Danio rerio: one gene and its partner. The protein of the gene in region 1 binds, or shares a complex with, the protein of each later gene. Links are inferred from orthologs where the notes say so. Each region holds a gene or a part of one and is shown in the gene's direction. Other genes may lie near its edges. The genes, in order: apooa and micos13.

Region 1 (3,836 bases):
TTATCATCATCATTACTTTTGTTTTTACTTTTTATTTTTTAAATTTCATATTTTTTTACTTTTATTATTAATATTATTATTATTATTATTACTTTTGCATTTACTTTTTATTTTTAATAATTTCATAAATTTGTTAAAAGTTTCATTATTATTATTATCATCATCATTACTTTTGTTTTTACTTTTTATTTTTTAAATTTCTTTTTTTTTTACTTTCATTATTAATATTATTATTATTATTATTACTTTTGTATTTAGTGTTTTATTTTTAATAATTTCATCAAATAATTTTAAAAACTTTCATTAATATTTTTTATTAAATTTAAAAACAAATATGCCATGACAACATTTAATCTAATATTAATATTTAATTTTAGCAGAACATCAATTAACAAAAACAATAGAGGCTTTAATCTGGACGCACCATTGCCTAACAATGTTGTGCCTCATCTGTATGTAAAGGACAGCAGATATGGGATGTAAACAGCGTTACGTAACAGCGTTCAACCCTTGTCCCCCACATGAACATCATCTGACCTCCAGTTTCTCCTGCCTTTGTAATGTTCGCAGTTAAACTCAGTGGGCCTTGAAGGTCCTCAAAATGGCAGCATGAGTAGTTTGAGTATGCAATTCAAGTCTATTTATTTGTACAGCGCTTTTCACATTCATTATAATTCCAATGCAGATTTACAAGTCCACATTATTACATTACTCTTCAAATCAGAAAGGTGTTGAGTAAGTTAGTGATAAATAATAACAATTATTAGCTACACAATAATTAAATTTGCTGTTTGTTATTTTCAAACCACTTATTTAAAATGAGCCAAAACAGCTAAATTTTTAAGGGGGATGTTTTACCTTAGTGCTCAAACTTAATTCCTTCTTGTTGGCCCAACACAAATCTATTTTATTTTGTGGAACCCAGCAACTTTTAGTTTAATCTACTTAATTTCTCCCCATTGGGATATTTGATTTGCAGCATACACCGACAGAGACATTTGAATATTTCATAATAGGCATTTATATAAATAGATCAATTTTCAAACTAAGGCACCACTAATCGAAATAAACATCCAGTCCACTGACCATTAAGAGGAAGAATTAAAAGTGTAAATGCTTCAGGGATCAGTTATAATTTCCACCTTTTCCTTACACATCTGGGGACACAATATCATTGACCAGATGGTAACAGTTTGAAGGTGTAAACAATTACATTGGTGTGCGTTCACGTTTACTCTGAAAAAATGATTCATTGGATTTATTAAGTTTGTTTAAGGTTGCAAACAATCTATATGGGCTGAATTGTTTGCAACCACTTACCTTAAAAAGTTGTATGTTAGTATATTAGTGTGTCATTAATATTTCGTGCTGTCCTTATAGTGTGTAAATGTGTGTGTCTATATGGTATTGACTAGGAAAGCCATGTTGACAGTGAGCACAGACTCTGATAAAGAGGTTATTTTTCTGTCTGACCGGTTTGTTGGTGCTCTCTTCTGATAGGCTGGAGGAGTCGCTGGAGCCTCTGGAACTCTGGGATTGTTTTCAGCCTCAGTGCTGGCGGCGTCCGCTGATGACAAGCCCAAAACAACACTCAGTGTAGAGGAGGTAAAGCCTGAAAATCAGCTGTGAAGAAACTAACATGAGTACACAGTCAGAAATAAGGGGACAAATCTGTCAGGGGGTGAAACCTTTTCAGAAGGTACACTTTTGCACGCTACAGGTGAACATTAGCACTTTTAGGGTGTACTTTTGTACCCTTAATGGTCCTGTGAAAGTTTTTTAAGATTTTAGGTTAAGTCTGTTAGTTTTAAGGATATCTATTAGCTAGTATGCTACAAAACAGTGACAAGATACACATTTAGAAGATGTAAAGCTGATATAATAGGGGTGTAACGATTTATCGTTGTACGATTTATTGCGATGCAAAAATGTCTCAATATGCATCGTGGCGTTATGACGATTTGATTACGATATGACGTCCGTTTTCTCTTATTAGTTGAGCTGTTTGCATGTGAGCTACGTTCCACCTGCTGTCGCACGTGAGTTCAGATTGCAGCAGCAGTAATGTTAGCAGACCAAGATGAGTGAAGCTGAAATAGAGGATGGCCCATCCTCTCAAAATCAGACGTCTGGCAACATTTCGGTTGTCCAGTCATTGCTTTAGACTCGTCCGCTTTTTGACACGCATACTGGGTCAAACATCCTAAGTTTTAAAGTCTTCACAGTGATTTACATACTTTGCACAGTGACAGAGATACCTCCTAATGGTGTTGAAAGAGTCACATACTGTATTTATAAGGTACAATTCACCCTAAAATATCATTCTGTCTTCAAATAATGTTCCCGCCGCAAAATCACACATGACGTGAGCTGTTACTACAGAGGGCGGACTTTGATAGACGCGCACGTATGGCAAGCCGTTTTAGCATTTAAACCTTTGTTGTGACTATCCATAAATATATTTTGAGATATCTCTAATTATATTTTGACTAGACATAATTATAATTCGACTAGTCAGAATGACAATTAGAGATATCTGCAATTACAATTGTACTAGTACGATATCAGATTGAAGATATCTGCAAAAATATTATGACTAGTCATATTCCTCCATTGACTTCCATTGAAAAATATTTGCAGATATCTCTAAATGAGTTTTGACTAGTCACAATTGTAATTAGAGATATTTCTAAATGAATTTAATTAAATATGAATTAAATACCTGGAAATGTGGCTAATAAGTTCAATAATGGCTAGTAATGTTCAATAATATTTTAAGAAGTTTTTTAATTGTTTTATTTTCCAGGGACAGGCCTGTTTAATTTATTTTCGTAAAGAAGGTTCAGTTTAACAAGTTGAAACAAAAGAAATACATAAAAAATAGTTTACTTGGTAAAATTTGCATTTCAGTTTAATTTTAAATTTTTATTCCAAATATCGTGATACATATTGAATCATGAACATTATATCGTGATACACATCGTATCGTGAGCTGAGTGTATCGTTACACCCCTATGATATAAACATGTAAAGCTTGCAGTTTGCCACTTCCGCATTAATGGATCTTTTTTTTACCTCAGTTTCCCATCAAATCTTCTGACCAATCAAATGCTCTCTAGTATCTGATATGCCCTGTCCCCTTTGAACCACTTTTCGTGTGATGTGCTTGAGCTCAAACATAGAATAAAACATTTCAAAGCACTTCACGGTCGATGTACCGCCCCGTTGGGGTGAAGAAGGAGCTGAGCTGAAAGGCAAAGCTCTCGATTTCCCAGTCGATCTACTCTCCTACTTTCACCTATGGTCATGAGCTTTGGGTCATGACTGAAAGGACAAGATCTGGGATACAAGCGGCCGACATGAGTTTCCTTCACAGGGTGGCAGGGTGGCACCCTTATGGACAGGGTGAGGAGCTTTGACACCTGGGAGGAGCTCAGACTAGAGCCGCTGCTCCTCCACAGTGAGAGAAGTCAGCTGAAGTGGCTCATGCATCTGTTTCAGATGCCTCCTGGACGCCTACCTAGGCAGGTGTTCCAGGCATGTCCCACCGGGAGGAGGCCTCGGGGGAGACCCAGGACATGCTGGAGGGACTATGTCTCTTGGCTGGCCTGGGAACATCTCGGGTTCCCCCCGGAGGAAATATCTGGGGTTCCTTCCAAGACTGCTGCCCCCGCAACCCAGCCCCGGAAAAGCAGTTGAAAATGTATGAATGAATTAATTCACGGGAGTATTAATATATCCCTTTAAGGACCTGTCAGGAACAGAACTGTTCCTTTTAATAAGGTATCGCCCAGGGACAGACCTCTCTTTCTGGGTCTATAAAAATATATCTTGTA
Region 2 (3,936 bases), on another chromosome or scaffold:
AATAAAATATATCGTGTTCAAATGGGAAATAAGTTTTTGTTTTTAACCCCAACATTTAAAAAGAATATATTTTATTTTAGAGCAGCAATTACAATACCACAAAACCGTGATATTTTATCCAAAGTTATGCCTAATTCTATGTTTTCTGTGGATGTTGATGTCAAACTCCAACAGTATTGCAGATTTATAACATTTTAAATGCTTGCTGTTTTATAGACCTGTCGCCTGGGGTTTGAGGATCGAATTAAAATAATTTTAAGAGAAAAAAAGTACTTTAAGAAATAATGTGAACACGTAATGTTAACACGTAGATAAATACATTTATTACACTCTCAGAAATAAAGGTATGCATGCTGTCACTGGGGTGGTACCTTTTCAAAAGGTACAGATTCTAACTTAAAGGCTCCATATTGGTACCTAAAAAGATTATATTATATTAGGAACACTTTTGTACTTTTTAGTAATGTGTACCCTTAAGGTATTAATATATACATTTAAGCACAAATTTGTACCTTTTGAAAAGGTACCACCCCAGTGACAGCCTTTGGAGGCCTACCTTCTGAGAGTGTAGATAGGCTATATTAGTTTTTTGGGTCCACAAATCTTTCCACAAGCTTTCCCACCACTTTGTAGCATAGACTACTTTCTAAATAGCTGTAAAGACATATCACTTATCAATTTACAGACAATAGAATACATTTTACAGCACGTAGATAAACATAAAGGCTGTTAAACTCACCCTCATTAAATGATGGAGCACTCCATCGGACCGCAATGAACGCGACGCATATGCTGCAAAGCAGTAATTTGGCATAAAGCTTCATTTGAAGGAATATGGCAAATCTGTGCACAGCTTACAAAATGCACAACTTTGTAAAGTCAGCAGTCGACACCAAGAGAACAGGCAGAACAGGTTTTTAAATCTAAGTTCAGACAGGCGGAGCTAGTGCCAAAGTACAATCCGGCTTTAGATAACTTGGCAGCTAGCACTTAATGCATTTTGTAACTTCTGTTAATATTGTGTTGTAATAATCAGTCATTCTTGTTTTATTTGCATTATAACGTTAATATTGTGGTTGGGTTTATAAATTCGGAACGACCTGACAGACTATGAAATACAAACCGAAAGTAAGGATAAAAACATAATTATTATTCACTTAGGCTTACTTTTTACTTTTTTAAACTTACTTTTATTATCGTTGGCGACTCTGCTAAAGATTCTTTTTTAATTAATATTACACATACAATCTAAAAAAACGTGATTTTAAAATTAGTCAATCGATCTGAGCCACAGGAAAAACGTGGCGGCACTTTCACCAAATATATAAAACCGAATTGTCTTTTAAAGTAACACCCTTCTACTTTTAATGCTTATATATATAGAATATTCATATGTTCAAAAATACTCAAACATATAATTATTACGTTTTATATGTTCGTCGTTCGTTTTGTCGAATGTGCAGATCTACAGCTGGATTCAAAACGAACTTTATTGCTACCATTTCGGTTTGCTAGAGCAAATGCCCTTGTCGGTGAAACTCGCTGACAAAATAGTAAAACAAAGCATCCTGTGAAGTGTTTTGATACGAAATATTGTTCTTTAGAGCATAATTTTGCTTTTAAAATATGGCTGCTAAGATTTTCCCTGTCGTCAAGTAAGTGTTTATGTGTTGTTTTTGTATCTGAAGCTGGTTGCTAACTAAGTTAGCACACAAGTGTCTGTTTGGGTTTAAGTGTTTTTTTTATACTTTATACATTATTATACTTTATATAATTATATTATATATATATATCTGTATTTACATTAAAATTAAATTACCTCGTATTTTAGTTGCTATTTTTACCTATAATGTCGTTTAAATATAGCTAGCATGCTAATTACTCAATTCAGCAATAACTTTGACAGTAAAAATGTTAAATCCTGTTTTGTATTAGAGTTAATCATATATATTTTAAGTAATCATCATATATTTGGGGTCATAATAACCTGAGAAGCTTGTAAACATGCTCTCTTTCCTTCAGCTTTAACGTACTTTGAATGGCTGTATTTGTGATGAAGGTAAAGTTGTTTCCAGTCAAATAAATAGTGCTAATGTTGTTTTCGAGTCATACTTGCATATGATTTCAGACAGAACCTTCAAAATAATAGAGGTAAAGTTGGTTTTATATTTAGACATTCTCCTCGATAATATAATTATCTTTGCAAATTTTAAATGGGGAAATCATACTAGCAGAATTAGGATATCTTGCGTCCAAAAAAAAAAAAAAAAGTTAAGAAAACGGCCGTTTTTCGGTGTTTCTTTTGATTACAAAAAAACATGATTTTAATAATAACTTTTAATCATTTTATATATATATATATATATATATATATATATATATATATATATATATATGTATATGTATGTGTGTGTGTGTATATAAATAATAACTATACTATTTATATAATTACAAAGTTTACATATTCTGTCATTTGATCAGTTATGAGGCTTACATTCATTGCGTATGCATAAATTAAATAAAAACGTAAATTAGCAGTATTATTAGACTTTTGTCAATAAAATAAGGTCATAGTTCGCTGCCAAACATTGTTGCTGTGCACGCTGTCAAGCTGTGCACCTGATGCTGAGCAAAGATAGCCATTTCCGAGTAGCACCTGGTTTGCATGATTGTTTCCGAGCAAGGCCTTGACAGTAATAATAATAATAATGTTATTATTAATAATAATTTATGTTTATAGTTCACTGCCAAACTTATTGCTGCTGTACACCTGATGCTGAGCAAAGATATACATCTGTGAGCAGCACCTGGTTTCCATGATTGTTTCAGAGCTACTGTAGGCTTAAATAATATAATTATTATTGTTATTATTAATAATAATCATTTTAGCACGTGATGCCCACAGAGAGCACTATGCCAAATTAAGTTCTGTTTAACCTATTTCTGCTTAAATTGTAGAAAATCTTTAAAACGACATGACTAATCAAGACTTTTATTTGGAGAATTACACTTATTAATAACTTGGTTCTTATAAACGATCATTTTATAAAATACATTATTTACAGATCTACTGAAGAATAAGACGAATGACATCAATAACTATAATATATTAAGATTTTATATAAACTATAAATAAGAACATTTAAAGTAATAGAACATTATCTGTAAAACAAATCTAAACTGTTATATAGGCTACAGGCTAAATAAAGGCACCTTGTCAGAGATTTACATCGTGTGCGTTAAAGAGGCAATGAATGTAAGCCTGATAACTGATCAAATGACAGAATATGTAAACTTAGTTTATATAATTATATACATATAACTAAATATTAATAATTCAAAGCCTGGGTATTGTCCTCAGAGGGCTCTTATTTTGGGGGCTACGTCACAAGCTCAGATTTGGTTGACCAATCAGAGGAAAATGGACATTTTAGCACCGCCTACATGAGAATAATGAATTTTAATTGTTTTTTTTTTTTTTTAGTTAAAAAATGGATATGGATTTAATTTAGCAGCCAATGATTATCAAAGTACAGCATTGTTTACAGTAAATTTGATGGTGCTAATGTTGTTTTGAAGTCATACTTCCATGCTAATTCTGACCTAATATTCAAATTAGCATGGAAAGCAATAGAAACAGTTAAATAAAGGAATGTGCAAATATAAAACCAACTTTACCTCATTGTATTTGTGTTTCTTTATGTTTTAGGTTTGCAACAAAAGTGACCATTGCGGGAGGAGCCCTGTATGTGGCATATGATTCAGGACTTCTTGGAGGTAGTAATGAGGGATCTGTGGCCTTGGCCCGAGCTAAATCAGCCATACCACCTGCTGTGGATGAGTGGATGAAGTACTTTGGCTTCGAGGTATGAAAAGAAATGAAACTAAGTGTATGATTGATAACGAAAGTAGAACTTGACTTTTTGATGAAGTGTA

Evidence for each region.
Region 2: apooa (region 1) and micos13 share a complex: the UniProt entries of both Homo sapiens proteins name them as parts of the mitochondrial contact site and cristae organizing system (MICOS) complex. The link is inferred for Danio rerio from reciprocal best matches to the Homo sapiens genes APOO and MICOS13.

The regions. Positions count from the first base shown.
Region 1 is NC_133180.1:4,980,639-4,984,474, reverse strand, and holds part of apooa (apolipoprotein O, a), read left to right. Parts: intron 1-1,473; exon of another isoform or gene 1,474-1,500; coding exon 1,501-1,605; exon of another isoform or gene 1,606-1,612; intron 1,613-3,836. UniProt on the Homo sapiens protein: Component of the MICOS complex, a large protein complex of the mitochondrial inner membrane that plays crucial roles in the maintenance of crista junctions, inner membrane architecture, and formation of contact sites to the outer membrane.
Region 2 is NC_133197.1:19,398,821-19,402,756, reverse strand, and holds the start of micos13 (MICOS complex subunit MIC13), read left to right. Parts: upstream 1-1,479; 5' UTR 1,480-1,626; coding exon 1,627-1,655; intron 1,656-3,709; coding exon 3,710-3,866; intron 3,867-3,936. Other genes in the region: hsd11b1la (hydroxysteroid 11-beta-dehydrogenase 1-like protein precursor), read right to left, coding at 740-824. UniProt on the Homo sapiens protein: Component of the MICOS complex, a large protein complex of the mitochondrial inner membrane that plays crucial roles in the maintenance of crista junctions, inner membrane architecture, and formation of contact sites to the outer membrane.